4 linked regions of the Arabidopsis thaliana genome follow. The protein of the gene in region 1 interacts with the protein of each later gene in a pairwise test. Each region holds a gene or a part of one and is shown on either strand. Other genes may lie near its edges.

Evidence for each region.
Region 2: the proteins of CSP3 (region 1) and BBX13 interact in a two-hybrid assay, tested with the Arabidopsis thaliana proteins (one study listed by BioGRID).
Region 3: the proteins of CSP3 (region 1) and LOS2 interact in a two-hybrid assay, tested with the Arabidopsis thaliana proteins (one study listed by BioGRID).
Region 4: the proteins of CSP3 (region 1) and PRR7 interact in a two-hybrid assay, tested with the Arabidopsis thaliana proteins (one study listed by BioGRID).

The regions. Positions count from the first base shown.
Region 1 is NC_003071.7:7,761,760-7,768,654, reverse strand, and holds CSP3 (cold shock domain protein 3), read left to right. Parts: upstream 1-3,378; 5' UTR 3,379-3,473; coding exon 3,474-4,379; 3' UTR 4,380-5,127; downstream 5,128-6,895. Other genes in the region: AT2G17880 (Chaperone DnaJ-domain superfamily protein), read left to right, coding at 997-1,479; AT2G17860 (Pathogenesis-related thaumatin superfamily protein), read left to right, coding at 5,637-6,394, 6,571-6,577.
Region 2 is NC_003070.9:9,774,451-9,782,195, reverse strand, and holds BBX13 (B-box type zinc finger protein with CCT domain-containing protein), read left to right. Parts: upstream 1-4,152; 5' UTR 4,153-4,538; coding exon 4,539-5,324; intron 5,325-5,515; coding exon 5,516-5,683; intron 5,684-5,967; coding exon 5,968-6,212; intron 6,213-6,325; coding exon 6,326-6,428; 3' UTR 6,429-6,674; downstream 6,675-7,745. Other genes in the region: AT1G28060 (Pre-mRNA-splicing factor 3), read right to left, coding at 1-583, 1,160-1,314, 1,412-1,606, 1,689-2,066, 2,158-2,439, 2,553-3,029; AT1G28040 (RING/U-box superfamily protein), read left to right, coding at 7,286-7,745.
Region 3 is NC_003071.7:15,319,376-15,327,697, forward strand, and holds LOS2 (Enolase), read right to left. Parts: upstream 4,755-8,322; 5' UTR 4,412-4,754; coding exon 4,346-4,411; exon of another isoform or gene 4,170-4,345; coding exon of another isoform or gene 4,137-4,169; intron 3,991-4,136; coding exon 3,862-3,990; intron 3,765-3,861; coding exon 3,717-3,764; intron 3,613-3,716; coding exon 3,526-3,612; intron 3,438-3,525; coding exon 3,357-3,437; intron 3,226-3,356; coding exon 3,043-3,225; intron 2,897-3,042; coding exon 2,759-2,896; intron 2,672-2,758; coding exon 2,594-2,671; intron 2,499-2,593; coding exon 2,304-2,498; intron 2,207-2,303; coding exon 2,015-2,206; intron 1,927-2,014; coding exon 1,870-1,926; intron 1,787-1,869; coding exon 1,706-1,786; 3' UTR 1,381-1,705; downstream 1-1,380. Other genes in the region: AT2G36500 (CBS / octicosapeptide/Phox/Bemp1 (PB1) domains-containing protein), read left to right, coding at 1-708; AT2G36540 (Haloacid dehalogenase-like hydrolase (HAD) superfamily protein), read left to right, coding at 5,862-6,117, 6,197-6,313, 6,521-6,681, 6,772-6,832, 6,920-7,074. UniProt on the Arabidopsis thaliana protein: Multifunctional enzyme that acts as an enolase involved in the metabolism and as a positive regulator of cold-responsive gene transcription. Binds to the cis-element the gene promoter of STZ/ZAT10, a zinc finger transcriptional repressor.
Region 4 is NC_003076.8:635,646-644,855, reverse strand, and holds PRR7 (pseudo-response regulator 7), read left to right. Parts: upstream 1-2,829; 5' UTR 2,830-3,121; intron 3,122-3,376; 5' UTR 3,377-3,394; coding exon 3,395-3,704; intron 3,705-3,805; coding exon 3,806-3,967; exon of another isoform or gene 3,968-4,060; coding exon of another isoform or gene 4,061-4,100; coding exon 4,101-4,234; intron 4,235-4,405; coding exon 4,406-4,570; intron 4,571-4,862; coding exon 4,863-5,037; intron 5,038-5,135; coding exon 5,136-5,583; intron 5,584-5,680; coding exon 5,681-6,350; intron 6,351-6,453; coding exon 6,454-6,573; 3' UTR 6,574-7,175; downstream 7,176-9,210. Other genes in the region: AT5G02830 (Tetratricopeptide repeat (TPR)-like superfamily protein), read left to right, coding at 97-398; RHL2 (Spo11/DNA topoisomerase VI, subunit A protein), read right to left, coding at 733-1,485, 1,668-2,198; CDL1 (Protein kinase superfamily protein), read left to right, coding at 7,482-7,590, 8,034-8,215, 8,301-8,490, 8,566-8,957, 9,048-9,210. UniProt on the Arabidopsis thaliana protein: Transcriptional repressor of CCA1 and LHY, and positive regulator of LWD1 and LWD2 expression. Represses the expression of other clock proteins and master regulators of plant growth, development and response to abiotic stress.

The sequences.
Region 1 (6,895 bases):
TAAATTGTAAAGTCCATATATTTTAGTTGATGGTTGAGGGGATCCTTCTCCCTTTTGATTACTAATCAGACTAATTGTTTGGTGGTTAGTGTAATTATTTGTAACACTAAACTTCTAAAAGCTAATTATGCAAGGCCTCTTGTTGTAACAATAAACAACCTTTAACAATAAAAATCTCAGAAGACACAAAAGAAAAAAAGAAGTCCATATATTTATTTAGTCCATATATTTCATACATATTGTATCATGATTCTATAGTGTCTGTTTACATTTTATGTATCTTTAAATTACACTGAATGGTTAAAAAGATACCGAATGGAAAATGAATGTATCTTTTTGGTATCAAAATATGAAACATCGTTGTCCTTTTAACTTTTCATATTTTTATTGATCTTTCCAACAGTATGGGTGATATTTCATATTAGTTAATAATAGTTACAACTTTAGTTAATAAGTAACTATCCGATTGAAACAAAGTAGATCAGTAATACAACTATATTTACCGATTTCTTCCGGATATTCGCTTAGGGATAACATTTAATCGAATGTTTTAAGTTTCATGAGTACCAAAACAAGAAAACAAATAATAACAATGTGAATAATAATGTTATCAAGTTTTGTTATATGATACCAAAAATAGAAAAATTTGGTAGATGACAATAATAACTTCATTGCCACTCTCAAGTTCGTTCGTTCGTTGAATCTTATCTCACTTCTCCCATTATTTACAACTGTGGATAAGCCTTTTAGTCTGACTCAGCTTTCTCAAGATCCGAAAACACACTGACCCAACCCGGTTCGATTTTGCTTAACCGGACAAGATACATTAATCTGCCTAATCTTCAATTATTTAAAAGCTAACTAAACGTTATACGTACTAATCACTTCTTCCCCTATAAATAAACCTTTCTAATTTCTCATCTCAAATCACACTGCATCACAAAACCCAAATCGGAACTTAAACCAAAAGACAAACAAAAACGCCGTCGTTTCACGATGCTTTCTTCTTCCCCAACCTTCTTCGCTACTCCATTTCTCTCTTCTTCTTCTTCTTCTTCTCCGTCGTTCTCTTCTACTTCACCACCGTCACGCATTTCCCGGATCTCGCCGTCGCTTTCTACAACCACCGCGTCCTACACCTGCGCCGAAGATCTACCGAGATTACGCCAAATCCCGCAGCGATTTTCAGCAACCGCGTCTCTCTACGAGATCCTTGAAATTCCCGTCGGCTCGACGAGTCAAGAGATCAAATCAGCTTACCGGCGACTAGCCAGGATCTGTCATCCCGATGTAGCGAGAAATAGTCGGGATAACTCGTCGGCGGACGATTTCATGAAGATCCACGCAGCGTATTGCACGCTTTCGGATCCCGAGAAACGCGCCGTTTATGATCGGAGGACTCTTCTTCGGAGCCGGCCGTTAACGGCTGGATACGGCAGTTACGGTGGACGGAATTGGGAAACCGATCAGTGCTGGTAGCGAGTTGACTCGATGTGTCGAGTTGGTCCAAAACCATTGAATTGGTTGTAATTAGAGCAAACCCAGAGATTCTGGGTGGTTGTGCCACGTAGGATCAACACGGTTTATCGTGCCACGTAGGATCTGTCGCGTTTTTAGCCTTTGTATCCATAAGTAGTAAGTAGTCTGTATTTAGTATTTACCATCTAATAAAGAAAATAAAAATTTATGTATAACTTAAAGTGTTCCAACTTAGCAATCAATAGTATGTAGCCTTGGAGAAACAGATTTTTTTTGTTACAGGTAAGATTTACATACTGAAATCATATAGCATTCTTAGAAAATTTTAGTTGTATTATGTTGTAGTCACCTAATTTAAAAAGCTGGGAGTGTTTTTTTTCTAGTCGCACAATCAGCCGACATCGACAATAAAAGAAAAGAAGATCTATGTCAAATAGTAACAAAAATACATAAATACATATATATGTAAAGATTTTAATACTGTTGCGGTGCGGTTTTGGGTGTGGTCTATGTTACCATTCATGGTCTTAGTCTATCGAAAGTTCGATAACGTTGTTTGCCTTGGTGGCAGTGAATTTTTTCCTGTCACGCGACTGTGAAAAGAGTAATTTTTAGAGACGTTACAATCGCATATCGTGAATTCCGATGTATGTGATATGTGTATGTGGAGGGTTACTGAGAGTTTTTTCTATGGGCGTTATAAACATTTTTAGTTTGAACGTTGTGCAATCAACTAGGTATGCATGCATGGGTTAATTTTATGATTCTAATTTTTTTGGGTAAAAGTTATATAAATAACGGTATTTCAAAGAGTTAACATTGGGTCAAATTTCTTGCTCAGAATTTCAGAGTTATACTAACATGACGTTTATGATGATAATAATTATAGTCAATTTAAATTGCCTTCACCAGGGCCACCAAAATAGCTAAGCAAATACGACAGACAAGGTTCTTTTCTTCTCGTCATCATAATCCATGTGTCACTCTTGTTTCAACATGCCATGTTCTGGAACATTTGCATCTCACGAATCTTTCATAATATTTACAAAAAAAAACTCATATTCTTTTCACATATATATAACTATTTTAAATGTGAACAAAAAAAAAGTAATTATAAATTCACTATTGTCATTAAAAGAAAAATAAATAAAAAAAGGAACTCTTGTCATTTTCTTAAGTATAGCATTGTCATGACAAAAGCTATGCTGTCCATAAACAATGGGAAGCAGAAGATTGTTGATGTTCGACACCATACATTATCAAAATATATAATATATATATATATATAATAGACGATAGATATCCAATAATTAGTTTAAGTAATTGGGATGTTCTTTTTTTCTTGCTTCTAGAAGAAAATATGATCGAATCATTTTTTTCTTCACAATTGAACTTCGGATAATATCATCCATGTATTGGTTCATTGAATTAAAAAAGTGAGCTGGGATATTGAAAATTTGGATGCAAAATAAGTTGCATAAAAATAGATATAATATCAAAATATAATATATTGTTTAGATAAAACAACCAAAAGTGTGAAACACTTTCTCTTCTAGTAGAAGTATAACATAATAATCTAAATCATGTCATATTTACTTTAGATTTACTATGAATATCCCTTTCTTTTTGCAAAAAGTGATAATTATAGACTGCATTTTCATCCAATTCCCAGAGTTTGGGGATGGTTAAGAGATGATAAAACATCTCAAGCATTTTTTTTAAAGTTAGTGTGAAATCAAACCTTATCAATTTTGCTTAGTTCTTTTGAAACTCTTACATAAATAGGCCCATTTCATTATGTGAACCATGGGCCTGATCCAAAATGCACACGTGGTAACTGCCGCCGATAGAGAAGGAGCTGACGTGGCGAATTTAAGGTCAATTTGGGGTTAATAGATCTAGCAAGTAGCAATTTAGGGTTTTCATTTTACCCATTTCCTCTCTTTGTACGAACAAAGTGCTTCGAGTTTTTGTTAACCTTTTTCTCTGATCTAATGGCGATGGAAGATCAATCGGCGGCGAGATCTATCGGAAAAGTTAGTTGGTTTAGCGATGGAAAAGGCTACGGTTTCATTACTCCCGATGATGGCGGCGAAGAGCTTTTTGTTCATCAATCCTCAATTGTCTCCGATGGATTCCGTAGCTTGACTCTTGGTGAATCGGTTGAATACGAAATCGCGCTTGGAAGCGACGGAAAGACTAAGGCCATTGAAGTTACTGCTCCCGGCGGCGGTTCACTTAATAAGAAGGAAAACAGCTCCCGTGGATCCGGAGGTAATTGTTTTAATTGCGGTGAGGTTGGTCATATGGCTAAGGATTGTGACGGTGGAAGTGGTGGGAAAAGCTTTGGAGGTGGTGGTGGTCGTAGATCTGGCGGCGAAGGTGAATGTTACATGTGTGGTGATGTGGGACACTTCGCTAGGGATTGTAGGCAAAGCGGTGGTGGAAACAGCGGCGGAGGAGGAGGAGGTGGTCGTCCGTGTTACAGTTGCGGTGAGGTTGGTCATTTGGCAAAGGATTGTCGTGGTGGTTCTGGTGGAAACAGATACGGAGGAGGTGGTGGTCGTGGATCTGGCGGTGATGGATGCTACATGTGTGGTGGTGTGGGACATTTCGCTAGGGATTGTAGGCAAAACGGCGGTGGAAACGTTGGAGGTGGTGGAAGCACTTGTTATACCTGTGGCGGAGTTGGCCACATTGCGAAAGTTTGCACCAGCAAGATACCTTCTGGTGGTGGTGGTGGTGGTCGTGCTTGTTACGAATGTGGAGGAACTGGCCATTTGGCTCGTGACTGTGATCGGAGAGGAAGTGGAAGCAGCGGAGGTGGCGGTGGCAGTAACAAGTGCTTCATCTGCGGCAAGGAAGGTCACTTTGCGAGGGAATGTACTTCGGTTGCTTAACAAAAAGATGCAAAGAAGAAGAGTAATGTTCATAAACCTCTTTTGTTTTCTATTAAAATCTACCTAATGCTCCTTTTTGGTGACTATAATGTGATTGCTAAAGTCGTTTAGGATGTTTAAGAATGGTTGTTTTGGGAGTTTTTGATCTCTCTATATTACTCTTTTGACTGGTTTATGCAACCTGTTCACTGCTTTTGTTGATGCCATAAGTTTGAGATCTTGAATGATATGTGTGCTTGCTTATTTACAGTTTCTTGTCTTTCCTTGCAATGAGTGTGATTGTATGACTTGAAAATTCAATCTGTTATGGTCACTTCTGTTATATACCAAGATTTGAGACTTTTTTTTACTAACTTGTAAATACAAAGAGATGAGTCACAAGTCTTTCTTGGTTCCTCTTTGTTGGAGAGCTTAAAGATTTTCCTGTAACTGGTTTACTTATACTCTGCATTGCTGTTTTTCTTGTTCTTGATGAAACAGAGATATTAGCTTAAGAATAATCTTTTGATATTTTAGATTACTTAGATCTTGTTTTAGGAGAATCTCCTGAACAGAGGAGAGACATGGTGTGCGTGATCTTGTAGTGCCTATGCCTGTTCGTCAGTTCGTGGTTTCTTTTTCTCTACTTACCGTGATGTTTTAAGAAGATGATGAAGTTAATCCCGTTAGTTTTTTTTAACCTAATTACACTTGTGATTAGCTGAATCTTTCGGATATAAACATTTGGATCCCACGTGTTCTGTTATTGGAAGTGACTTGATCTTTCTTAACATATACAAAGACAAGCTTCTAATGTCCAACACCTCCTTTATTTCCGTTAATACAAAATCCCACCAATTCCAGTACAATTAACTTACTACACAACACCATACATGTCTCTTTCCTATCAAAGTCTTTAAACTAAATAACTTTTTCCTTAACAAACAAAAGAGAGCTTTTTCCTCCTCTAACCTTTATCTAAATTTCTAGTTTTGAATTTAGGAAGAGATCCTCAACAAATAGTTATAAAAAAAAAATGTATAATTTTCGAAAAGGATAACAAGTATACTAGCTTGATTCGTAATTTCCATTTCACAAGTATTAATGAGAATATTGAAATAAAGGAAATGATGAGTGAACATGTATCGGATTCTGTAATGGCAAAACTCATATAGGGAAAATTGATATTATGAAACTTTCCATAACACAAATCCCCGATTCTCTTATATAAACACGATCCCTAACTTCTCCTGAATCATACAACATCAAACGGTAACAATGGATTTGGCTAAAGTCTCTTGCTTTCTCTTAGCGATTATGTTTTTCATCAATGGTGGTTCCTCCACCACGTTCACCATCGTTAACCAGTGTAACTACACCGTCTGGCCGGGACTTCTCTCCGGCGCCGGCACCGCTCCATTACCCACCACTGGTTTCTCCCTCAACTCCTTTGAGTCACGACTCATCTCCATACCCGCCGCTTGGTCCGGCCGCATATGGGGACGCACGCTCTGCAACCAAAACGAAATCACCGGAATATTCACTTGCGTCACCGGCGACTGCGGCTCATCCCAAATCGAATGCTCTGGCGCAGGAGCAATCCCTCCAGCTACACTAGCCGAATTCACACTCAACGGCGCCGAAAATCTAGATTTCTACGACGTTAGCCTCGTCGATGGTTACAACATCCCAATGACGATCGTTCCTTACGGCGGAGCTATCGGAGTCGGTAAGTGTAACGCAACGGGTTGCGCGGCGGATCTCAACGGCTTATGTCCGGAGCAGCTGAAAGTAACGGTTGAAGCGGCTGGAACGGGTGCTGTGGCGTGCAAGAGCGCTTGTGAGGCGTTTGGAACGCCGGAGTTTTGTTGTAACGGCGCGTTTGGAACGCCGGACACGTGTCAGCCGAGTGAGTACTCTGTTTTCTTTAAGAAAACTTGTCCGACGGCTTATAGTTACGCTTATGACGACGGCACAAGCACTTTTACTTGCTCCGGTGCTGATTACGTCATCACTTTCTGTCCTTCTCCTTCAAGGTAATATTTTTGCTACTGAATTTACTAAATAAGGAAAGTAATATTCGAAAAATGTTAATTTTAGTGTTTTTTGGTAATTTTAATGAATCTTAGATTATTCAAAATTCATATTTTGGAAGTTTTGTTAACTGTTTTATATATTTTTGTTGTTGTTGTTGTGTTTTGAATTAGTGAAGACTTTGAGAAGAGTGTGTCTCCGCCTCTGCAACCGGAAGCAGTTAGCGTCTCTGACGCGTCAAGTAGAATCTCAGTTGCGTTATCATTGGTCGTTTTGGCTGTTGCGGTTTCTTGGGTGTGGAGTGGACTTTGGTGATATTCAATACGGCACCGACCTTTTTTTTTTCTTTTTCTTTTGTCTTTTTGTTCATTCTGTTTTTTCAAACTAAAATTGTTAAACAGATTTTCCAATTAATTTATGTGATTGATTTTGTTGCGACTCAAGAAAACGAGTTTTTTTTGGGCTGAAGTAAACATTGACTAGTTAATATCATACTCCCTCTG
Region 2 (7,745 bases), on another chromosome or scaffold:
CATTTCATCCGTCATCACACTACACCCTGTTAATCTGTTCTCTCTTGCATTCATCTCCACTTTGAATCTTGTTTTAGGGTGCGATAACTTTTTGATCTTGTACACCGACACAATCGTCTCAACCGTTGTTGGATCATCGAAAAGCTTCCTCTCTTTCTTCTCACGTTTCTCTGCAGGAGTTAGCTTCCGGGCAGCATTCCTATCTGTATGAGCCTGTTCACGCTCAGCAGCTGCTGTGCGGATCTCTTTTTCAAGCTTTGTTGGGTCTTGGGTCGCTTCAGAACCAAGAACCTTCATTAAGTTGCTCATCTTCACCTTTGCTTTTGGTGGTTCCAGCAACCCTTGTCTGATCATCTCCTGTTTCTCCTTTTCTTTTGCTAGACGCCTCTGGGTTCGCAGTTTCTTCTGTTCCTTCTTTGTCAGTTTAAGAGGTTGGGGTGGTGGAGGAGCTGCCTCTGCAGGTGGCTCTATGGGACGAGGATGCTCAATGTAATGAGTAAGTTTTTCTATCTTCAGATGGCTTTCAGTAATGGTGCCATCAGTTATTTCGCCGTATTCGCCATTGGTGAGGACATTTGCATCCCTGAAACATAAAACAATTATGAACTAAGAAGACTCATCATGAACATATACCAAGAAAATAGACCAAAACGACAGAGCACAAAGCAGCTAGATTAACTATTTGGGCTGGCATTGAAAGGTACTAAGTAGATCATAATCATCAGTAGATTCATGTTACCATATTTTACTACCAATCACACCGTTGCTGATGACAAAACCATTGAACTTTCAGAAGTTGTATGTGGAAAACTAAAGCACATATGCGAACACTCAAAGAAATCAAAGAATTGAAATATTAATTGTATATATCCCACCTAAACGAAACTAGATAGTAATTCAAAAAACAAACAAACAACCCTAAACCAACATGAGCAACAAGAACACCAAACAAATTATATGAATGTCATCCGTAGCTGAGAGCAAACTAAAGTTATTGTTATGGTGATTCATCACAGTCATCAAATACTCCAATCGTTACAAGTTCAGTTTTTAAGTGCAGGATGACTTGTTTCCACCAAGGTTATGCCAAGTGAATGTCAAATCAGAAACAAAACAACTTAGCATTAACAGAAAGGGTAAGGTGAGAGAAATTACGTACCACCACTCAACATCTGGAATTGGCTCCTTGGGCTTCTCTTTTCTCGGGACACGTTCGGATACCTCTATCAAATTTGGATTTATATCATCGTTTGCCTTAGCCAGTTGTGCTTGCTTCACCTTCAGCTCCTTCGCTTTTGCTTCACCAAAATGACTCTATAAAGAAAAGACAGAAATACACACAATGAGACATCTAAAAGACCACCAAGAGAGAATATCGTCAAAAAGAATCCATACAAAAGACAATGCATACCTTAAACTTCAAATTTTCAGCATCTCTTGTCCATTTACCTTCCTCAACAAACTGGAAACTCATACGTTTAGGTCTCAGAATCTTTTTTTCATCAATACCCATCCTTGTGTCAAAATAGGGGTTTTCTTTTAGATCTGCTTCCAGTTGAGGTTTAAGAATCTGAAAAGCATCTTTCTTCTTTTTGTTTATGTTAACCTGTAAAATCCAAGTACTTTAGAAGCTCGATCATATAAAGAAAAACATGAAAACTTAAGATATTCAAATTAACATTGCTGACCTTCAATGTACTAAGATTGCTTGGTTTAGTCACACTAATCACATTTCCGTGTTCATCTATCTCCCTTCCTAGTGCATCCACGCGCAGAACAGGGGGCTTTTCCGGTCTCTGTGCAACAGTCATATCTGAGGGTGCCTGTCCTGGAAATAGGTTAATAACGGGAGCGAACTCTCGATCCTGATGAAATCCCATATTAGCTGCCAGCTCCTGGGCTCGCTTAACAGCTTCAATGTTGGCAATACTCCCAAAGCCAGCAAGGCCAGTATGTGGTAATGTTGAAGCAAAAGATGTGCCTGTAGAGACAGCAGGAGTGGTAGTCGATGGTGGCACTCTGGTATGTGGGCTACCTTCTGAAGTTGGCTTAGTAGCCTTCTTCAGCTGCACAGAGAATAAGAAAAGCAATTTATCAAATACAAAGTTTTCAGAGAAGAATGAACGCAAAAAAGTATAGAATATCTGTACATCTTACCAAAGGAAGGTTCTTCAATCTATCAGCCAATCCCTTTTGCAATTGTAGTGCTTTCCTAGCTTTCGCTGCTAACGCTGATGAATCAAGAGGCAAGTTTGCACTACTTTTCCCAGCTGTGGACAATGGTCTTCCATCTGTACTAGATTTTCCAGGAACCTCATGAGATCTGACAACACTAGCCTTATTTTCATCCGTTGTAGATATCGAAGATACCTTAGTGAGCAGTGTTTGACTAGGGGCAGCAGAAGCTTCCGATGGAATAGAACTATATGTAGAGGCTCCCTGCACAAAAAAAGAAAATGCAAGCATTAGCTAGCGAAGAAGACTAGAGGTAATCATGAACAAATCGCAAGTAGCAAACAAAGAAGATTAACGAAAAGGTATAAAGAACTCACCATCGTAACGCCACTGGTTGGATTCGTAGCCCCAGAACCCTCAGAGACTTGAGCATCTTTGTTCTCAACTTCAATAGCCACATCCTCAAACCTGCTCCTCCTCTCACCATTCCCATCAGCAAACCTAGATTTCTTCTTCCCATCCCTAGCCCCATTCTCTTCCTCTCTATCTTTCCTCTTGCTCCTCGATTCCTTCTCTTTACTACCTTCGTGAGACCTCTCATGGTGATGCTTTTCCCTATCTCTACTCCCTTCTCTCTCGCCTCGCTCTACAGATCTCCCTCTTCTATCCTTGGTCCTATCTCTCTCATCTTCCCTATCGCCGCGCCTCGATGAACGGTAGTGATCTGAATCACGACGCTTCGAATCAACATCGCGGTCACGGCGGCGTCCTCCTTCACGTTGTGGAGAATGGTCGGGACTCGAATCTCGATCACGATCGTCACGGTGGCTCCTGGAATATCTCTCCTTATCCATGGCAGAATTTAGGGTTTATTCCTAACAACAATTTGCTTCTGATTCGCCGGTCCTATAAATATACGAAAATTCACAACCGGAATAAACCAGCGATTCAGATTAGAACCAAAACGACCAGCGAAACCAAGTTCTGAATCAGATTTTTGTTCCTTCCGGAAAAATCCTAAAGGGAGCGAAACGATACCGGATCCGGAAGATATATAATCCAATCACCGGACTACAAGCTTCCCTTATGGGCTGAAGCCCATTTTTGAGTTCCTTCTTGAGATAGTTCTTCAATTTTGAGTCTAATGGGCTTTTATATCATCTTTTACTTAAAAAAAAAAAAATCGACGATTCATCTTCTATAGAGATATATGAAAATTCAAGCTATTTATCTTTAAAAAGAAAAATATTTGATGTCAGGTCGCAGTTTTCTTACAAGCAGAAATCCAAACTCTTCATACCAACTATTTTTGGAATAAACAAGATTTCTTTGCCAAGAGTTTTCATACCAACTATTTTTTGGATAAATAAGATTTCTTTGCCAAGAGATTTCCACAAGTTGACCACAAATTAAACATTCGATCAAAACTCAAGAATTCAAATATAGAAGTATATAACGCATATATTCCGCTTTGACTCAAAAAAGAAAAAACCCGCTCATATACTGTATTATGTATAGTCTGAATCACAAACTCTCTAACACGTGAAATTTAATGCGTTAGTCAAGAATCGTTCCGATTGTTACCACTCCCCAGGAACTTTTTCAAGATATTTATACCTCAGAATGATAGCACTTTACAAATAAGTTATACTTTTTTTCAAAACAAAAAAAAACAACTTATTGAAGTCTATGGACAAAAAGAAAATATCTAACATGAATCCTAAAATATCTTTACGATTTTAATTTTATCACATCTTTTGTCAAGAACTCGTGTGTAGCAGTTTATTATGCACATAAATATATGCTATACATTACGCTGCAATGTTCGTAAATACTAGTTCCAGAAAAAGACGATTCCAGCCGTTATTACACTGATCAAAAAGTTATTGCTATATACGGAAAGAATTAATCCCATAAAAATCATGTGCTTTGAACTAACTTTCCCTTTATACGTTAAAATAGATATTTAGGTGAAAAAGCAGATTAGATATTTTCTCTTAGATTCTCTGTCACAGTCAACGTAAGCTTCGCCGTCTGAACAATGGCGACTCTCTCAGCACGCTTTTACACCGTCAGATCTCAACATATCTCAATCTGAACAATCCATCATACACAAGTTCCATACATCGCAACACAGAAAAACAAATCCCTAACCCCAAACTGTTTACAATAATTAGCTTCGTTGTCTTCTTCATTCCAAAAGATTTGCAGATAATTTTGACAAAGCCCCCCAAAAAAAAAAAGAGTTCAAAATGAAAAACGTGAGAAATGGATTTGTCATCATTCTTCTCACCGTCCTTAGTCTCTGAAAATAAATTCTGATTTTGATTTCGAATTTTAGGGATTTTGAGAGAGAGTCAGTTATGAGTAGTTCGGAGAGAGTACCGTGCGATTTCTGCGGCGAGCGTACGGCGGTTTTGTTTTGTAGAGCCGATACGGCGAAGCTGTGTTTGCCTTGTGATCAGCAAGTTCACACGGCGAATCTGTTGTCGAGGAAGCACGTGCGATCTCAGATCTGCGATAATTGCGGTAACGAGCCAGTCTCTGTTCGGTGTTTCACCGATAATCTGATTTTGTGTCAGGAGTGTGATTGGGATGTTCACGGAAGTTGTTCAGTTTCCGATGCTCATGTTCGATCCGCCGTGGAAGGTTTTTCCGGTTGTCCATCGGCGTTGGAGCTTGCTGCTTTATGGGGACTTGATTTGGAGCAAGGGAGGAAAGATGAAGAGAATCAAGTTCCGATGATGGCGATGATGATGGATAATTTCGGGATGCAGTTGGATTCTTGGGTTTTGGGATCTAATGAATTGATTGTTCCCAGCGATACGACGTTTAAGAAGCGTGGATCTTGTGGATCTAGTTGTGGGAGGTATAAGCAGGTATTGTGTAAGCAGCTTGAGGAGTTGCTTAAGAGTGGTGTTGTCGGTGGTGATGGCGATGATGGTGATCGTGACCGTGATTGTGACCGTGAGGGTGCTTGTGATGGAGATGGAGATGGAGAAGCAGGAGAGGGGCTTATGGTTCCGGAGATGTCAGAGAGATTGAAATGGTCAAGAGATGTTGAGGAGATCAATGGTGGCGGAGGAGGAGGAGTTAACCAGCAGTGGAATGCTACTACTACTAATCCTAGTGGTGGCCAGAGTTCTCAGGTTTTGCTTATCTCTCTTTTGATTTTTTTGGCTAAGAACAGTTTAGTTTTTTCTGTTAATGAGCAAGTGAGATTAAGTGGTGAAATGTTTTTGTGTAAGGTCAAATATAGTCACTCTGTGTGGTTTTATGGTTTCTCAAGAAGATAAAAAAATGAAAGGTTTCTTAACCTGTGTTGTGAACTTGTATACAGATATGGGATTTTAACTTGGGACAGTCACGGGGACCTGAGGATACGAGTCGAGTGGAAGCTGCATATGTAGGGAAAGGTGCTGCTTCTTCATTCACAATCAACAATTTTGTTGACCATATGAATGAAACTTGTTCCACTAATGTGAAAGGTGTCAAAGAGATTAAAAAGGTAATAGTTCTCATTAACCTTAGTCATTTAAGTAGAGTAGTGTTTAAAACACAATACGTTGTCATCTCCCGTTCATCCTCAAAAATTGTTGTAGACAGTTGCTTCTTTTAGTGAATGATAGAATTCAGAACATGAAACCTAGTCAGAAAAAAGTTACAAGCTGGTTTGCTTTTCTTTGTTTTACCTCATCACCAAGCCACCAATTCTAACATTTTGGCTTATGATATATATTTGCTAGACTGCTATGCAACTTAACTGTGATGCTGATTAGGATTCTTTTGCAGGATGACTACAAGCGATCAACTTCAGGCCAGGTACAACCAACAAAATCTGAGAGCAACAATCGTCCAATTACCTTTGGCTCTGAGAAAGGTTCGAACTCCTCCAGTGACTTGCATTTCACAGAGCATATTGCTGGAACTAGTTGTAAGACCACAAGACTAGTTGCAACTAAGGCTGATCTGGAGCGGCTGGCTCAGAACAGAGGAGATGCAATGCAGCGTTACAAGGAAAAGAGGAAGACACGGAGGTAAATGCTGCTTTTTTCTTTCCCCTTTAATAATTTTTTATTGCCCATCTCCCTTAAAGAATCTGATACCATATTTCGTTTCTCCCTTTGTCTTGGATCTCGGGTGCCAACAGATATGATAAGACCATAAGGTATGAATCGAGGAAGGCAAGAGCTGACACTAGGTTGCGTGTCAGAGGCAGATTTGTGAAAGCTAGTGAAGCTCCTTACCCTTAACCTTAAGTCTCTTCACATAGGCTTCCTTTTAGCTACAAACTTAGTTACTTTTTTTACTTCCACTGCCTCATAAATGTACAGACCGGTCTCGTTTCATCTGGCCGCCCTTCTGTTTTATTGCCTTATCTGGCCCTTTTATGTACCTTGGAATCTTATCTAGTTTAAAAAAGATTGTAACCTTCTAGAAAACCATATTCTGTTGACAGTATATACATGTCTATCCAAGCATTTTGAAGTCTCACAAGCTAATACGCCTTGATACTCTTTGTTTTAAAAACCCTGACTTATGGCTGTTAATCAAAGTTTTCCAAGTCCAGTTCGCAGATGGCGAGCGGATCTGCGGCTGTGGTTCTTCGTTGCTGTTTCTTTGGTGGTTCTGGCTGTGTTGGCCAATTCAGAAGGTATAAATCTCCCTACTTAAAGAGTTACTCACAGGCGAAATTCCACAATCAGTTTATTCTAGTGTATAATACATGTAGTGGATGTTGTATAATGTTTATGCTTGAATGTCATATAGCTCTGCAGACGTGGGATCCGATGCAGGTGACAATTCTTCTTAAAAGACAACTAATTCTCTGACTTTCCTCTTAGTGACTATAAGAATAGACCAATTCTCTATTAAATTTTTCGTTTAACAATTCCCTCAATCAAGAATTCTCTTCTCTGTATTTCTCCTCTCCATCTTTATCTTACCTCTCCGAAACGCCTTGAACCCTCAAAAATGTCCTTCATCCTACTCGGATTCATATCTTAATAAATGTGAACCACTTGGAATCCCCATTCGTTTTCCTTTCTGCGGCAATCCAGGATTCAATCTCCACTGCAACAACCTCGATAAGACAGTCCTAGAGCTTCCTATGTCCGGAACATTTCTTGTCGATGAAATCAACTACCAAAAGCAGCAGATTTCTATCAGCGACCCTGAAAACTGTATGGTTAAAAGGCTTTTAACCTTCAATACTTCAGGATCTCCTTTCTCTTATGGCTTCAGTTTCTACTACACGTTCTTGACCTGTCCGAATGAGGTCGTGATACCGGTTTGGTCTCTGATGTCCATCCCTTGCCTAAGCAATTCTACCTCCTCCTTCTTCGCCACGTCTAATTTGACTTTTTCAAAATTGTTGCCGCCTTCTTGTCAGATTGTGAAAGGACTATACGTTCCTGTTGATGTGATATATAAAGATGTGATAACTGAAGAAAAAGGGTTCTCTACAGTGCCCTGGCTTGGAAACGTCTTGTTGGAATGGAGCTCGCCGAATTGCAGAGGTTGTGAAAAGGAGTCCTTGAGATGTGGTTTCAAGAACAAGGCCTCCCTCG
Region 3 (8,322 bases), 7.6 Mb from region 1:
GCATCAATAGAGACAACAATCCTCGATGCATTGCATATAATGCATGATGGGAAGTTCTTGCATCTGCCGGTTTTCGATAAAGACGGATTCGCCGTAGCTTGTTTAGACGTGCTGCAGATAACTCACGCAGCTATATCAACGGTTGAGAACAACAGCTCAGGAGCTGTTAACGATATGGCGAATACAATGATGCAAAAGTTCTGGGACTCAGCTCTTGCGTTAGAACCACCTGAGGATTACGAAACACACAGCGATATGTCAGCAATGCTGATAAATTCAGAAGGGAAGCAGTCGTGTCCATCACAAGGACTTGTGAGCTCGTTTGCTTTCAAATTCGAAGATCGTAAAGGGAGAGTACAGCGGTTTAACTCAACTGGTGAGAGTTTTGAAGAGCTGATGAGTGTTGTGATGCAAAGATGTGAAGCGGATTCAGGCCTTCAGATAATGTACCAAGATGATGAAGGTGATAAAGTTTTGATTAGTAGGGACAGTGATCTTGTTGCTGCTGTAACTTTTGCTAGGTCTTTGGGGCAAAAGGTTTTGCGACTACATCTTGATTTTACCGAGACAATTGCTCCTCTTGAGACGATTGCAGATTTGTCCGAGGGAAATGGCGGTTGTGTTTGGTGGCAGACTGGCGTCTTGGCTGGTGCTATTGTCCTAACGAGCATAGGTTTATTTGTTTACTTAAAACGTTCCAAGAAATGATATGTTGAATGGGAACTTAATTGTATTACACTGTTACTTTGTCTTTTTATTCGATTCACATTGCAAAGCAATAATAAAACTTGTTACCAAAACATACTTGTTCCTGTTTGAGAATTGTGATTGTTCTCTCAGTAGTCAATAGACAAGAAGGCAGGTTTGCCCGAGTGGTTAAGGGGGAAGACTTAAGTTCTTCTGCACATAAGTGCGCGTGGGTTCGAACCCCACAGCCTGCATATTTTTCCTAAAATCTTTTTTCCTAAAAACTTCATGCATTGAAAATTTCAAAAAATAAAGAGAAAGATGCAGGCTGTGGGGTTCGAACCCACGCGCACTTATGTGCAGAAGAACTTAAGTCTTCCCCCTTAACCACTCGGGCAAACCTGCTTATTGAATATCTGTTAATAAACCAAGTACTTGTTATTATTCTACAACCCAAATTCAAGAAATTTTTGTCCTTCACCATCACTTGATTAAGCTTATTTCAACAGAAAGTGAACGATAAAAGTGATAAACCGAGAAGAAAATGATTTATCTACACAATTTTGTATGAATGTTTTTCTAGTCATCTTCAGATAGTGTTCACACCTTTTTTACGTGTGAACTCTTGTTGAATAATAGTAGTCATGAACACAAGCAGGTCTATTTTAAAACCTTTACTAGAGTTGCAATTTTAATATAATAATGAAGAACTTATTTTATTTTTGTTAAAACTCCATCGTATGTCACCAGAGATCATAACAATCACATGAGAAGATTAAAGAGTAAAGCCGAAATTAGATTGAAATAAGGGGCTACCGTCCTCGACAAAGGCAGAGCATTCTCATGTTTCCCTTACAAAAATGAGTAACTTTTCCCAAAAAGGGTTCAACAAAAGACGTAAGAAACCAAACAAAGAAGAAACAAAAACAGAACGTTTTATTTAATTAAAGCAAATGATCAAACTCAGGTCATCTTCTCCTCGTCACAAAGAAGACCACTTTGCTTCTAAAAGCTCCATTTAGTAGGGTTCCACAGGTTTGCGGAAGTTGACTCCAGCGTAAATTGCCTCTGATCCCAACTCCTCCTCAATACGCAAAAGCTGTTGAGAAACAAGACACATATTAGACAATGTACTCTGGTTGTCAAACATAAAGTCTTTACTAGTGGTCTGAGATGTTAAACCTGGTTGTACTTGGCAAGACGCTCGGATCTGCAAGGAGCACCGGTTTTGATTTGTCCCTGTATAGACAGAAAGATCCAAATGAGAGTCCGACAAAAGATATAGCATGAGATTGCTAGTTAAATGCTTGCAATGGTTTCAACTTACAGTGGACAAGCCAACGGCTAAGTCAGCAATGAATGTGTCCTCGGTTTCACCACTTCTGTGGCTGGTCATCACTCCCCAACCTGCTTTCTTCGACATCTTAACTGCCTCGATACTCTCGGTTACAGATCCGATTTGGTTAACCTTCAAAAGAAGAGCATTGCAAGACTTCTCTGCGATTGCCTTAGCAACTCTCTGGAATAAGAAAAGAGTATAAGAGAGATGTGAGCATTTTAAGAGAGGGCAGACAACAAAAAAAAACTGGTAAGAACACTGGCAAATAAAAACAAACCTTGGGGTTAGTGACCAACAAATCATCACCGACAATCTGAACCTCGGTTCCACACTCAGTGGTCATCTTAGCATAGTGCTCCCAGTCATCTTGGTCAAATGGGTCCTCAATGGACACGATTGGGTACTCAGCGACAAAGGACTTGTACAGGTCCTTTAGAGCATCACCAGAAATCTTCTGAGAGCCATTGTTGTTCTGCAGAGAAACAAAGAGCGCAACAGCTACAAGTTAAGAACAGGTTTCTCACACTCTATCCTGACAAGCTGTTACTAAGGAAAAAGAAATTTCACCTCTTCTTTGAAGTTCAAGTCGTAGGTCTTGTCTTCTGAGTAGAACTCTGAAGCGGCAACATCCATTCCAATGACAACCTGGAAAAAATTGAATGGGATCCATTAGTTTCATGAATTATGTTTCGGGTAAAAGGACAGCCAAATTACATCAGATAAGAGACAGACCTTTCCAGTGTATCCAGCCTTCTCGATAGCAGTCTTGAGCAATTCAAGACCCTCCTTGTTCTCCTGAATGTTTGGTGCAAACCCACCTTCATCACCAACATTTGTGGCATCCTGGCCGTACTTCTTCTTAATCACAGACTGGAAAAACATATGAGAACAAGATGGTTAAGCCATAAACATGTAATACATGTTAGTTCACAGGAACCATCTGCGAAAAAGTAATACATGTATATGGAATATTCATTGAAGAGCATCTCAAAGACCAAAAAATATTGGAGATTTACCTTCAAGTGGTGGTAAACTTCCACACCCATCTTCATGGCTTCCTTGAAAGAAGCAGCTCCAACAGGGAGGATCATAAACTCCTGCATAGCAAGCTTGTTTCCGGCATGGGATCCACCATTGATGACGTTGAAGGCAGGAACTGGTAGCACAATCTTGGGGTTACCAGCAAGGTTGGCAATGTGCTGCACCCAAATACCACACAAAGGGAAAAGCTTAGAACATTTATCACCGAAAAAACCAAGTAGCCAAAGCAGTAACAATCTTATCTTCCATGGACAGAGGGAACCAACTTAATAGTGCCAGATCGTTCTACCTTGTATAGAGGAATGCCGCTGACAACAGCCCCAGCTTTGCAGACAGCAAGAGACACAGCAAGAATCGCATTGGCTCCAAGCTAAACACAGATAGAAGGCGCAAGATGGTCAGACTTGCCTTCTATTCTTAAGTGAATACACAAAAAATGAATTTTCCCTTTTAAGTACCTTTTGCTTGCACCACCCCCACTCGTTTTGGGTTCCGTCAAGTTCATGGACCATGAAGTTGTCAATAGCAGTCTGCTGAGTTGGGTCCTGCAAGAAATAATAAAAGCAACAAAAATAAAATGAGTGAGCCTAGCGCATAGAATTAGACACAAATTTGATGTTCTGAGAGTAGCTTAAAGTGAGTCACTCACCTTTCCAATAAGTGCTGGCCCGATGATGTTGTTCACATTGCCAACAGCCTAGTGATATAAACAAATAACGAATCAGTCAACATGATCAATTGAAATAACTCTACTAACACTAAAAAAACACACAGAACAGATCGCAGTCTCTCACCTTAGATACACCCTTTCCAAGGTAGTCAGATCCTCCATCCCTCAGCTCAAGAGCCTCATAGATACCAGTGGAAGCTCCACTTGGAACAGCTGCTGTAACCTTAATACCATTTGACGTGTGGATATCAACCTAAACCAACATCATCAGAGAAATCATTAGCTTTCTTTTCAAATTCGTCATTAGCAAACAATCGAAATCGTAAAAACCAGATGGAAATAAATAGATCCGTCGCAAAAATCATATAAACAAAATCAACTCCATCATCGACAACTCACGATCCAAATCGCCGAGATCAAATCACCGATCATCGTTCACAAAAACCAAATCTCATTCACGTACGACTACTAGATCAATTCAGGTTTACAAAAAAACGATTGAATAGTGGTTTTAGCATCGGATAGTCATCAAACAAACAGATCCGTCACGAATACTGTACAAAGCCGGAAAGTGACTGGGAAATACAAAAGTGATCGGAGAAACTAACCTCAACGGTGGGATTACCACGACTGTCGAAGATCTGTCTAGCCTTAACAACGGTGATAGTAGCCATAGCGAGTAGATCTAGAGAAAGAGATAAAGGCGATGTGTTCGAGGGTTTTAGTGAGAATCGCTTCAACAGTAGTAGCTGAGGAAATGGGTTGGTGGTCTGGTTCGATATATAAAGACGTCACGGATTTAGCCAAAACCGTTGGATTGTTTTAATAACAGCCGTTGGATGAGAACAGTCAGCTCTGATGCAAGAAGCCAAAACGATGCGCTGCACGCCTTTTGCAGAATAGAAGAGTTTTTTCCATATTGTTTTGCTCCTTGTCCAAGTAATACCGACTATTTTTATTAAAGACTTTAGAACAAGTAAGAATAATATATGGCATCTAGATTTTATTCCATTTTCCGACTATACGTTTCACTGTTTCCATTTTTATTTTGTCAATAACATCTTTTATACCATGTTTGAAATTTGGATGGTTGTACAGAACTCTCTAGAAACAATTCACTAGTTGAAAATTTTCTTTTTTGTTAAAGGGGTTTCGCTAAACTATAACTTAATGGATATGTTTGTGGGTCAAAAACTTTGGGCCTTACTTATGTGACAAATTCTCCACTAGGGTTTCAATGTCCATCAACCATTTTTATACGATATTAATGGACCATATTTTTCAGTAATCATTGTTTGATTATGCTTATTCTATATGTATCAACATTTAAAATGCAAATCACTAGTTCTATAATTCTTATCAAAATGTGGTGTTTGCGTCGGATTTTTGGATGCTCTTTGGACTTTGGAGTTTCAAACTCAAGATTATGAGGTGATCTAATATTTATTTTAATCTAAGTTACTAATTTTTGAAAATAATTTAAATGTTGCTAAACTATTATGATTTTTATGTTCTTATAAACTTTTTTTTTTGTTAAAAGGTTCATATAAACTTAGATATTTCTGTTAATAATTTTAATTTCGATTAATTCAAATATAAGTTTTTCATGTTTTATATGAAAAAAATAGTAAACAAATGCGTTTTACTTATGTAAAAATTGTCAGAAGAAAATAGAGCACAATCTTCCATGTTTCATCAGGCTTCCTCCGAGCCTTTAGTGCTATTTCTTTTGATAGAATTCGTGAGAGATTCCCCAAATCATAACAAGAAAACAAAATGGTAAACGGGAAATATAACTCGACAAATCAGCGTCGATTAATTGATGTATCGACTTTTGTCCATGTATAACAACTGCTGACAGGTGGAATTTTCTGATTGGTCGCTGTAAGTCGATTCACACTACCAAGTTGGATACAGGAAAAAAAAAAAAAAAAAAAAAAAAGAGAGAAATTAAGGATAAGTACAAAAAAGATTTGTGAGTATCCAAAGAGCCGCTTGAAGAAAAACGCCAAATAAATGGTTTTGATCTCGTGAAGCCAAATCGCCATTAGTCACCACCTTAAATGACTCACCTAGTATATATATATATGCACCATATGAGTTTGATCAATCTCATTCAATACAATGGCTGAAGAAAAGATCAAGAAGAGCTTGCTTGCTGCGGACGACAGCGACGATGAGTACTCAAGAGGTGATACAGTTTCAGATCAGACAGAACTGAGTTCGATTCTTGATAAACTTAGTCTAGAACCTAAGACGGAGAAAAAGAAACTCTTGGTCTTGAGTCTAAGTGGTCTTCTTCTTCACAGAGTCCACAAAAAAGAGTTGCGTAAGAAACCCAAGAACCGCTCTCCTGATGCTTCTTGTGGGCCAAATCTTGGTAACGTTTCATTATTCTTTTATTAACTTTGCTACCTTTTTTGTATTTATAGTTTATTTGTGTTTGTTTTGTTGTTTAGTGTATAAGAGACCGTTTGCTGAAGAGTTTATGAAGTTTTGTCTTGAGAGATTTGAAGTTGGTATTTGGTCCTCTGCTTGCGAGTTAGTCTCTTCACTAAACATTCTTATAGTTACAGGTTAATATTGTTGATTTCTTAAGCTTAAATAGTACTTTTTATCTGACTCTTCATGTGTTTGATTGATAGGAAAAATGTTGACATTGTTTTAAGCATTGTGCTTGAAAATCTCCAAGACAAGCTTCTCTTTGTTTGGGTAAGACTCTCATTGTATAGAGATGTGTGTCTATTTATGTATATATAATTTCGAATACTCTTTTATTGTAGGACCAAGAGAGTGTACGGACAGTGGATATAAAACACTAGAGAACCGTTACAAGCCTTTGTTCTTTAAGGATCTCTCTAAAGTGTTCAAGTGCTTTAAAGGCTTCTCTGCTTCAAACACCATCTTCATTGATGATGAACCATATAAAGCTCTTCGTAATCCTGTAAAACACTCGAATCTCTATTATAGTGTTGTTTATCGATAACTTTGTAGTTCTTAATCCTAATTCTAATCTATCTTGATTTGCATTCAGGACAATACTGGTCTGTTCCCAATGAGCTATGATGCTTCTAACATAAAGGATAATTTACTTGGTATGCAAAATTTAAACTTCTGCTGTTCACTTCTTATCTTTAGACATGCGTTTTGGTTTATTTGTGATTGGTCTTTTATTTTGTTAGATCCGGAAGGAGAGTTGTGTTCTTACTTGGAAGGTTTGGCAAAATCATCGGATGTTCAGGCTTACATAAAAGTGCATTCTTTTGGACGGCCCATGATCGATTCTTCTCATCCTGATTGGTCTTTCTACAGCAACGTTTCAAAGATTGTCTCTTAATCTTTTATGATTATTAGTTTGTTTAAGCTTCGTATCTCAATCATTATCTTCTTTTGCTTAGTAATGAACACATTAAAAAGTCTACCTATTTCAATTCTAATAAGAAAGATGAATCACTTGTGCTTCAGCATTTGTTAATTCTTCTGTACGTGTTCAATGTCGATCAACCATTTTTATACTGTGTCATGGTTGATTATATATTCTCTTTTGGACCCATTTTTCATTAACAATTATTTGATTATGCTTATTCTATGTGTCAAAATTTGAAAATTCAGATCACTAGTTCTAATTTTTGTATCAAAATGTGGTGTTTGTGTGGGAGTTTAGGATGTTCTTTGGAATTTCAAACTCAAGATGATGAAGCTAGGTGATCCAATATATATTTAATCTAACTGGTAATTTGTTAAAATTTGTAAAATAATTTGAATAACGCTAAACTGTATATGGGTTTCCATGTTTTTATATGAAAAAATAGCAAACAAATTCTTCTACTATTTTTTTCGTCAACAAATTCGTTTACTTATTTGACATTTTTTTCAGAAAAATATATAATACAATTTTCCATTCAGCTTCTTCTGAGCCAAGTGAGATTTCATTTAATAGGATTTCTTTTGATTTTAAAACAATAAAAACAACTGGTAAACGAGAAATAGAAGTTGATTCAGTTTAAATTTATAGGATTTTAGTCTTTCAACATTTCTATTGTTGGATTCATCAAAAACTTTAAATGAGATTCATTATTCATATGAGGAAAAAATCAACTTTCAAAGCGATGGAAAAGATGTACAGTATCTACATTTTCCCATGTATGACAGGTGGAATTATCTGATTGGTCCCTTTTAAGTCAATTACTAATGGTCTTTGTCTCTGACTCTCTTCGAATCAACAGAAAAAGTGAAAAAAGATAGTCATTAGAAAAACAATTAAAGATAAGTACAAAAAAAGATTTTGTGAGTATCCAAAGAGCCGCATGAAGAAAAACGTAAATTAAATGGCTTTTGATCTCGTGAAGCTAAATCGCCATTCGTCACCACCTTAATGACTAAATCCTCTACTATATATGCACCATATGAGTCCTTACTGTCTTAAGCATAACAATGGCAGAAGAAAAGAATAAGAAGAGCATCATTGCTCCCGCGCCCGACTTATACGACAAGGATGAATATGATGATGATTACTCATGTGACACAGATCCAGAAGAGACAGAACTGAGTTGGATTCTTGATAAACTTAGTTTAGTACCGAAGA
Region 4 (9,210 bases), on another chromosome or scaffold:
ATGCAGCTTAAGTTAGGACAAAAAAATCAAATGTTGTTGAATTTTATGCCAGTAGAGACTAAAAAACACTTGTAACTAACTGAATCTCCTTTGCAGGTGACGTTGTAATAGATGATGTGTTGATTATCATAGGAACCGATGAAGCAAATACCGTTTCAGGAAAGCAAGAGATTACTGTGCAAGAAGCGCTAGTGAAGCTTCTACGAGATGAATTGTCTCTTGTGGTTCTTCCTGCTGGACAAAGAAATATCATACAGGATGCACACTGTGTAGATGATGCAGACCAAGAGAACACTAAGTCATTTGTTAGTATATCCTCAACGAGGAGACCTGCGATTCTGGAGAGGTTGATGGTTACAAAGGCGTCTCTGTATCAGTGGTTGCAGCGCAGAAAGTAGCTGCCTCCGACTGTTACATTACTAATCAGTCATCATTGTATTTTATGCTAATTCAAACCATATGCAGAAAAGAATGGGGAAAGATTGCATATCATCTCAATGCCCATCATATTGTATACAATCTTCTAAATAAACAAAAGAGTTGTCTTCTAAATAATCATCTGACAGCTATCTTTCCAGTTCTGTGTAGATTCAACCATAAATTTAAAACCAAATTTCGATCTTTGCAATAATAATTCACATGCTAAGAAACAGGCAATTGCATTATCAAAAATTCGAAATTTGTAGAGTACACTTGTTGGTCTATCTAATTGATCAGGAAGAAACCTGATTATCAGAGCCAATCCTGCTGCTGCAGTTTCAGGGGCAAGTAAACTTCCGATAAATACTGGAAACCAAAAGAGCTCAACGCCTGAATCTCAGCCTTTTGCTTCGTTTTCACCATCAGGTTAAGTTCCTCGACCCACCCGGGATTTTTCTTCACGAAATCCTCCTCTAGCATATCCTTCCCGGTCTTAATATCCTGCTCAGTCATCGGCAACCTACACTGTTCAGGTATCTTATACTTGTCCAAATCACTCGGCCTAATTCCAAGCCACTTAATATCAGGCGTAGTCAAGTTTGCACTATCATATGACATGTTCTTCGACCCACATCCATACACCGACAAGATCTTCAATCCGTAAGGATCACTATCCACCAAGGCAAGTACCGGAAGCTTAAGCTCCATTTTCATTTTCCTCAAGAAGAGCCTTGTAGCTACATCAGGCTGGCCTTTTGCAGTCACGATGATACAAGGGAACCGGTTATAGAATCTGTCTTCAGCTAACCTCATATAAGCTGCATCTTTTTCAACTAAGAGTATGAACATAGCATCACTCTGCATATCTCCAACCCGGTCAATGTTTGGTGGAATGGCTTTCCCACCCATTCCCATCTTTGTGCAATCTATCATGTCTCCATTGTCACTGAATATAAGCCTTCCCACCACCACACCTTTCTCTGCTGCAATGACATTGAGACTTGACCTTGTGCAACCGAGCATACATGAGACATCATCCAACACAGCATCACTCTGTGTCTGGTCCTGAAAATTCAGTAAGGTTGCGAATTGGTTCAAAAACCTTCCAAAATCGAAACTACAAAGAATCAATGCTAGAACTTTCGATTCAGGTTTACAAGAGCTGGATCTAAAACAGTGACTATCATTCTCTATTTAATGGGAAGAAAGTATCATCTCAAGTAAAATTGAAAGCAAGAAGAACCTACCTGGAAAAGCTTAACGTCGGTGTAGAAGAGATCACGCTTAGTAACGTGAATGTTCCTGAGGCAGAGTTGGTGGATAAGGGCGAGGATACGAGTGGTGATGGTGGTTTTCCTGACAGAAGAAACGGAGGCAAATGGACGGAGGGTAGATTTGTCTTTTAGCACTATACGGTCGAGCTCAGGAACATACAGCTGATTCGAGGCGGCGCGTGAAGGAACACTGAAGGAGAAGCCATCACCGGCGAGAATAGAACGGGCGATCTGGACGATGACTGTCTCTATCTCTGTCTGCACGGAGGAGAGTGAGAGATCTGCGACTTCACGACAGGAAGATGATAGAGAGAGGTCAGCTAGGGTTAGAGGTTTCGATGAAGAGGAGGAGGCACCGCCGGCTCCGGCGGCGGCTTTGATAGAAGAGGAAATATACGATTTGAGAAGCTCCGTGATAACGTCGTCTGATTCCAGAATGCTTTTGAAAGGAAGTTCCTCCGCCTCGTCATCTTTTGATCGCTTTCGCTTCTTCTTATCCGCCATCTGTAGATAGCCACGACGACGGAGACGCGGCGGCCCAGAGAGTTCTGGTACTAACAATGGCGGGAAAATTTACCCTTTAGGTCAACGTATCTCGTGAATGTTATTTCTAGGGTAAACTAAAGGGGTAGACTTAGAAACGCATTTATTAAGTTAATTAATTGTGCTTTTAACGAGATGTCGATATGTCCGAGTGGTTAAGGAGATAGACTTGAAATCTATTGGGCTTCGCCCGCGCAGGTTCGAACCCTGCTGTCGACGATAGTTTTTTGAATATTTTTTATTGGGTTAAAATCTTTTTGAATGGCCCATATGGTAAGCCCAATATTAACTACATCTATAAAATCTTTAAACGCTAGTCTCTTCCGCCAAAATCTATTCAACGGTCCAGATGAGTTTACCACTTGACGTTTTCCTTACCCACCATTACACGTGTCAGTTCAAAAAGATCTTAATAATCTGCCACTAGCCTCCTGAACGACTGTTTTTGATATACCATCCACGTCACTAATCCTCGCCAATATATGATGTGGAAATATCCGCTCTGACGTGGAACTTCTCGAACGTTCGGGACCTCTAGTTTTGTCCATGTCAGATATTACGATTTTTTAATTTCCTTTTTTTTTTTGTTGGCCCGAGACAAATCTTTCTAATATCTATCTATCTCCGGAAAAATAAAAATCGGTGGCTTATGGTCGTCTCCGATTTCCACTCTCTGGGAGACAGAAAAACCTCATAATCTCAAAAATTGTTCACTGTGTTTATCTTCCTTCTAAAGTTCTAAGAAGCTTCGATTCTTAATTCTGTTTATCGATTTGAATTCCTTGTTTCTATTTCCCAACCGTTAGCTGATTGTGCTAGATCCATTTTTCTGGTGATTGATGCAACTTCTGGAGCTCGATTCTTCGTTCTAGTATTTGATTATTGTAAGATCAGTACTCTCTTGGAATTTAGATGCTTTTGTATGGTTGGATTTTTATTTGATGTAATTTGTCTAGATTCGATTTTTTGATGATTCTTCAAAAAGTTACTTGATTAGTTGGTTTTTTGAGAATTCGTCGTTCTTCAACTCTTTTTTCTGTTAATCTGAGATATTGTACGATTCTAACTCCTCTAGCTATTGCAATAATCGAAATTAGGGTTTATGGCTGTGTTTTGATATTTTGATCATTTGAATTCAGCGAAGCAGAGTTGGTGTGATGAATGCTAATGAGGAGGGGGAGGGTTCACGTTACCCAATCACTGATCGAAAGACCGGAGAGACGAAATTCGATAGGGTTGAGAGTCGGACAGAGAAGCATAGTGAAGAAGAGAAAACTAATGGAATTACTATGGATGTGAGAAATGGGAGTTCAGGTGGACTGCAAATTCCATTGTCGCAACAAACAGCGGCAACTGTCTGTTGGGAAAGGTTTCTTCATGTGAGAACCATTAGAGTTCTGCTTGTCGAAAATGACGACTGCACTCGTTATATCGTTACTGCACTTCTTCGCAATTGTAGCTATGAAGGTCAGTTTTGAAGCCTATGGCCCAACTTTAATCTATAGCGCATATATGTACCCGTTTCGGTTCTGTTTGTTGATTGATTATTATTAACTCTGTCATGGCAGTTGTTGAGGCGTCAAATGGGATACAAGCTTGGAAGGTGTTAGAAGATCTAAACAATCATATTGATATTGTGCTAACAGAGGTGATCATGCCTTACTTATCTGGTATCGGTCTCTTGTGCAAGATTTTGAACCACAAATCTCGTCGGAACATCCCTGTCATCAGTGAGTTCTTTTTCCTTGGTCGTTTTACATTGAGCTCTTTCTTTTGAAGTTACACGATTTGTTGAGTCTTCTCTAGCGTATGTTGGAAAGTAGATGCTTTTAACTACATTCCCCTGTGAGATTTGTGTTGCAGTGATGTCATCTCATGACTCAATGGGGCTGGTCTTTAAGTGCTTATCGAAAGGAGCTGTTGACTTTCTTGTTAAGCCAATAAGAAAAAATGAGCTTAAGATCCTTTGGCAGCATGTTTGGAGAAGATGCCAAAGTGTATGTCCTTGCTCATATATGATTAATCTGAAAACCTGTTGGTACAACTGGTGATAAGTAGTAAACTAGAAATTCATGGTCTAATTGTGGATTGGTATCTTCTTTTTTTTTTTCCACATGATTGGTATCTTACTTTTTGGTTTCTCATGGTTTTCCTTGTTTCTTGTTCAGTCTAGTGGTAGTGGAAGTGAGAGCGGAACGCATCAAACTCAAAAGTCTGTGAAATCGAAAAGTATTAAAAAATCTGATCAAGATTCAGGAAGCAGTGATGAGAATGAAAATGGGAGCATTGGCCTGAATGCTAGTGATGGAAGTAGTGATGGGAGTGGCGCTCAGGTAAGACGAATGTGCAATACCGATAATCTAAATATACACCCGAGAAGCTATCCTTTTAAAAATTTCTTAACCACAAATGATAGGGGTCGGATGATCGAACTTCGCATGTGCACTCAGATGCTTATAAATGGTGGAAGCGCTTAACTAACCAATTGTAGAACTCAATGATGTTTAACTTAGATCTATTCAGTGATAAACTGGGTGAAAATTTCTAGTTCATTTTGAAGTTTTATTTTGCACATGGTTTATCTCCAAAACCTAGGTTGATTTTGACATACCTTTTTTTGTTCAGAGCTCTTGGACGAAAAAAGCTGTGGATGTTGATGACAGTCCACGAGCGGTATCTCTATGGGACCGAGTTGATAGCACTTGCGCCCAAGTGGTACATTCTAACCCTGAGTTTCCAAGTAATCAGTTGGTTGCACCACCTGCTGAGAAGGAGACTCAAGAACATGATGATAAATTTGGTAAAGAAAGGAAACTGTGATCTCTTAGTTTCTTCCATACTCTTCTTTATACTGAAACTCAAAAACATGATATTGAATGTTTTTCATCTATTTTGCAGAAGATGTCACAATGGGTAGAGACTTGGAGATTAGCATTCGTAGAAACTGTGATCTGGCCCTGGAGCCAAAAGATGAACCCCTATCTAAAACTACTGGCATTATGAGACAGGATAATTCGTTTGAAAAGAGCTCTAGTAAATGGAAAATGAAAGTTGGAAAAGGACCATTGGACCTCAGTAGCGAAAGTCCTTCAAGTAAACAAATGCATGAAGATGGAGGCTCGAGTTTCAAAGCTATGTCTAGCCACCTTCAAGATAACAGAGAACCTGAGGCGCCTAACACTCACTTGAAAACTTTAGATACAAATGAAGCTTCTGTTAAAATTTCTGAAGAGCTAATGCACGTGGAACATAGTTCAAAGAGGCATAGAGGAACTAAAGATGATGGGACACTAGTTAGGGATGATCGGAATGTGCTGAGGCGTTCAGAGGGCTCAGCTTTCTCAAGGTACTTTCTTAGAATCAAACCTCTGTTTTTTCTTCCGTACACAACCTTTTGAATGCCTTATTGAAGAACTATGAGATCGACTGTTGGACTTGTGCAGGTATAATCCAGCCTCAAATGCCAATAAGATTTCTGGTGGGAACTTAGGAAGCACTTCGCTTCAGGATAATAATAGTCAGGATCTTATAAAAAAGACTGAAGCAGCATATGATTGTCACTCGAACATGAATGAGAGTCTCCCCCATAATCATCGCTCACATGTCGGTAGCAATAACTTTGATATGAGTTCCACGACTGAGAACAACGCTTTCACAAAACCAGGAGCTCCAAAAGTAAGCTCAGCAGGATCTTCATCAGTGAAGCATTCATCGTTTCAGCCTTTACCCTGTGATCATCATAATAATCATGCCTCCTATAACCTTGTCCATGTCGCTGAGAGGAAGAAGCTACCGCCACAATGTGGATCCTCAAATGTGTACAACGAAACGATTGAAGGTAACAACAACACAGTGAATTACAGTGTGAATGGAAGTGTATCAGGTAGTGGTCATGGAAGTAATGGGCCATATGGAAGCAGTAACGGTATGAATGCTGGAGGAATGAATATGGGAAGTGATAATGGTGCTGGCAAAAATGGAAATGGCGATGGTAGTGGAAGCGGAAGTGGAAGTGGTAGCGGAAACTTGGCGGATGAAAATAAGATCTCTCAAAGGGAAGCTGCTTTGACAAAGTTCCGTCAGAAGAGAAAAGAGAGGTGCTTCCGAAAGAAGGTAAATTCTCGGTCAAATCTATAACAAAGGAAAAAAAAAGTATTCTTGTAAATTGCGAAAGCAAATGCAAACCGCAAAAATGTTTTTTTTTTGGCTTTCTCAGGTACGATACCAAAGCCGGAAAAAACTAGCAGAACAACGCCCTCGAGTGCGAGGCCAATTTGTGCGTAAAACAGCCGCTGCAACTGATGATAACGACATAAAAAACATTGAGGATAGCTAACGGAAAATCAACAAAACCCACTATTTCTCAGCCCAAAAACATGAGTAATGTGCTCATATCTATCTTATATATATATATCTATCACATGTTTTAACATTTTCCCTTCAAAGTCTGATTCTTTGATAATACTACTACTATTCACGAAACAAAGACACTACGACATTTGATTGTTTGTTATTATTGTCGTTGTCTGGTCTGGTTTGTGAAATTAGGACGAAGGGTTTGGTTTCAGGATGTAGTGAAATCTTTGTAGATGTTGTAAACTTGTAAAACAATAACCCCTTCTCTGTATATTTTTTGGTATAAGCTTGCTTTTGGAGCCGTGCATAGTACGGTGTCGTATTGTATCAACATTATCTCTTTCAATATCATTTAGCTTATATCGTAAATATATATATTCTTAGAAAAAATCTGTCTTTGATAAACACCATTTTAAAATAGGAATAATCAATCTCTTATACCCAAATGATTGGAAACTATAATGGTGACCACGATTGTTGCTTATTAAAGTTCAATTTCAATATTGTTACAACTTACAACACAAGAAATTTATTCAATCAAATAATCTCTTTTTGTGTGTTGAAAAGAAATTTAAATTCCATGGGGGTAGTTAGTTGATACTACTTTGATAAAATATAATTTTTGTTTGTCTTTTTTTCTTTGACAATTAATTTTTATTTGTCAAAGTCAAACCCATTCACATTAATTTGTATCACAAAAATTAAATTGTTTTAAAAATATATTTTATATCAAAAGAGAAAAATCGAAAAATCCAGCGATTGGCTTGGCGTGCTTTTTTTACATTTCAAAGTTCTCTAAGCTTCTCTCTCTCTCTCTCGCTTTTGAGATCATCGAACACAATCGAAACGAAGAATCATTTGAAGAAGAAGAAGATCGTGAGAAGCTTAATGGGTTGGATCCCGTGTTCTGGGAAATCGAGTGGGAGGAATAAGACAAGGAGGAACGGTGACCACAAACTCGACAGGAAGTCTTCTGATTGTTCTGTGTCTACTTCAGGTAATTTCTCTTTATAGTCTTTGTCCAATTTTAATTCTGGGTTTAACCTTCTCTTACTAAATTATGGAAATTTTTATCCTTTGCTAAAACTTTCTGATTCCTGTGAGCCATCATCGTTTGCTAATGCTGATTAGGGTTTTTGACTTTCTGTTTAAAGATTGCTTTTTTCCTTCCATTTCACTAGCTTTTGACTACTCTGTAACACCTGTGTTAGTATTTTGACAGTGATGTGTTATTGCATGTCTCTTTCCTGTTAATTGTTGTTATTGCTCTCCAGTGGAAGTTGTGGATTAAACTCTTAAATGGGACTTGCTAGATCCTTAAGTATCTTGCTATATTCTTAGAACTTTAATTTGTTGATTATTGACCTTGAGACAATTATGCTCAGCTTGTGTTGATTAATTATTTCTTCTTATCGCTTTCTTTTCTTTCTTTTTTTGTAGAGAAATCTAGGGCCAAGTCGTCCTTGAGTGAATCCAAAAGTAAAGGCTCTGATCACATTGTGGCACAAACGTTTACATTCTCTGAGTTAGCTACTGCCACTAGAAACTTCAGAAAAGAATGTCTTATAGGAGAAGGAGGATTTGGTAGAGTTTACAAAGGATACTTGGCCAGCACTAGCCAGGTTCCTTCCCTTTTTTTTGCTTGGTTTTAACCTTTTGAATCTTCTTGGTAGTGAAAGCTCACTGTCATTATATCTTCATTTGTAGACAGCGGCTATCAAGCAACTTGATCATAATGGTTTACAAGGAAACAGGGAGTTCCTCGTCGAGGTTCTCATGTTGAGTCTTCTTCATCACCCGAATCTTGTTAACTTAATAGGATATTGTGCTGATGGAGATCAAAGGCTTCTAGTCTACGAGTACATGCCCCTAGGTTCACTTGAAGATCATTTGCACGGTATGCGCTTCTAAGATCACACATGCCTATGAGAAGTCTTTAAATTTCAATCGGGTGATGCTTTTTTTATTTCAGACATTTCACCTGGTAAGCAGCCACTTGACTGGAACACCAGAATGAAAATAGCTGCCGGTGCTGCAAAAGGTTTGGAGTATCTGCATGACAAAACCATGCCTCCAGTGATCTATCGAGATTTGAAATGCTCAAATATTTTGCTCGATGATGATTACTTTCCAAAGCTATCCGACTTCGGGTTGGCTAAACTTGGCCCAGTTGGGGACAAGTCTCATGTGTCCACTCGGGTTATGGGAACATACGGATACTGTGCTCCCGAGTATGCAATGACAGGCCAGCTAACACTCAAATCAGACGTTTACAGCTTCGGTGTTGTTCTGTTGGAGATTATAACTGGTCGGAAAGCAATAGACAGTTCAAGATCTACTGGAGAACAGAATCTAGTCGCATGGGTAAGAAAAAAAAACAAATTGGGAACAAACTTTGTTTTCTCTGCGGATTCTTCCTTCTAATTGTATTCTTTGAAATGCTCTCTATGTCAGGCAAGGCCTTTGTTTAAAGACAGGAGGAAATTCTCTCAGATGGCTGATCCAATGCTTCAAGGTCAATACCCTCCGCGAGGGTTATACCAAGCACTCGCTGTAGCAGCGATGTGCGTACAAGAGCAGCCAAATCTTAGACCTCTCATTGCTGACGTCGTCACTG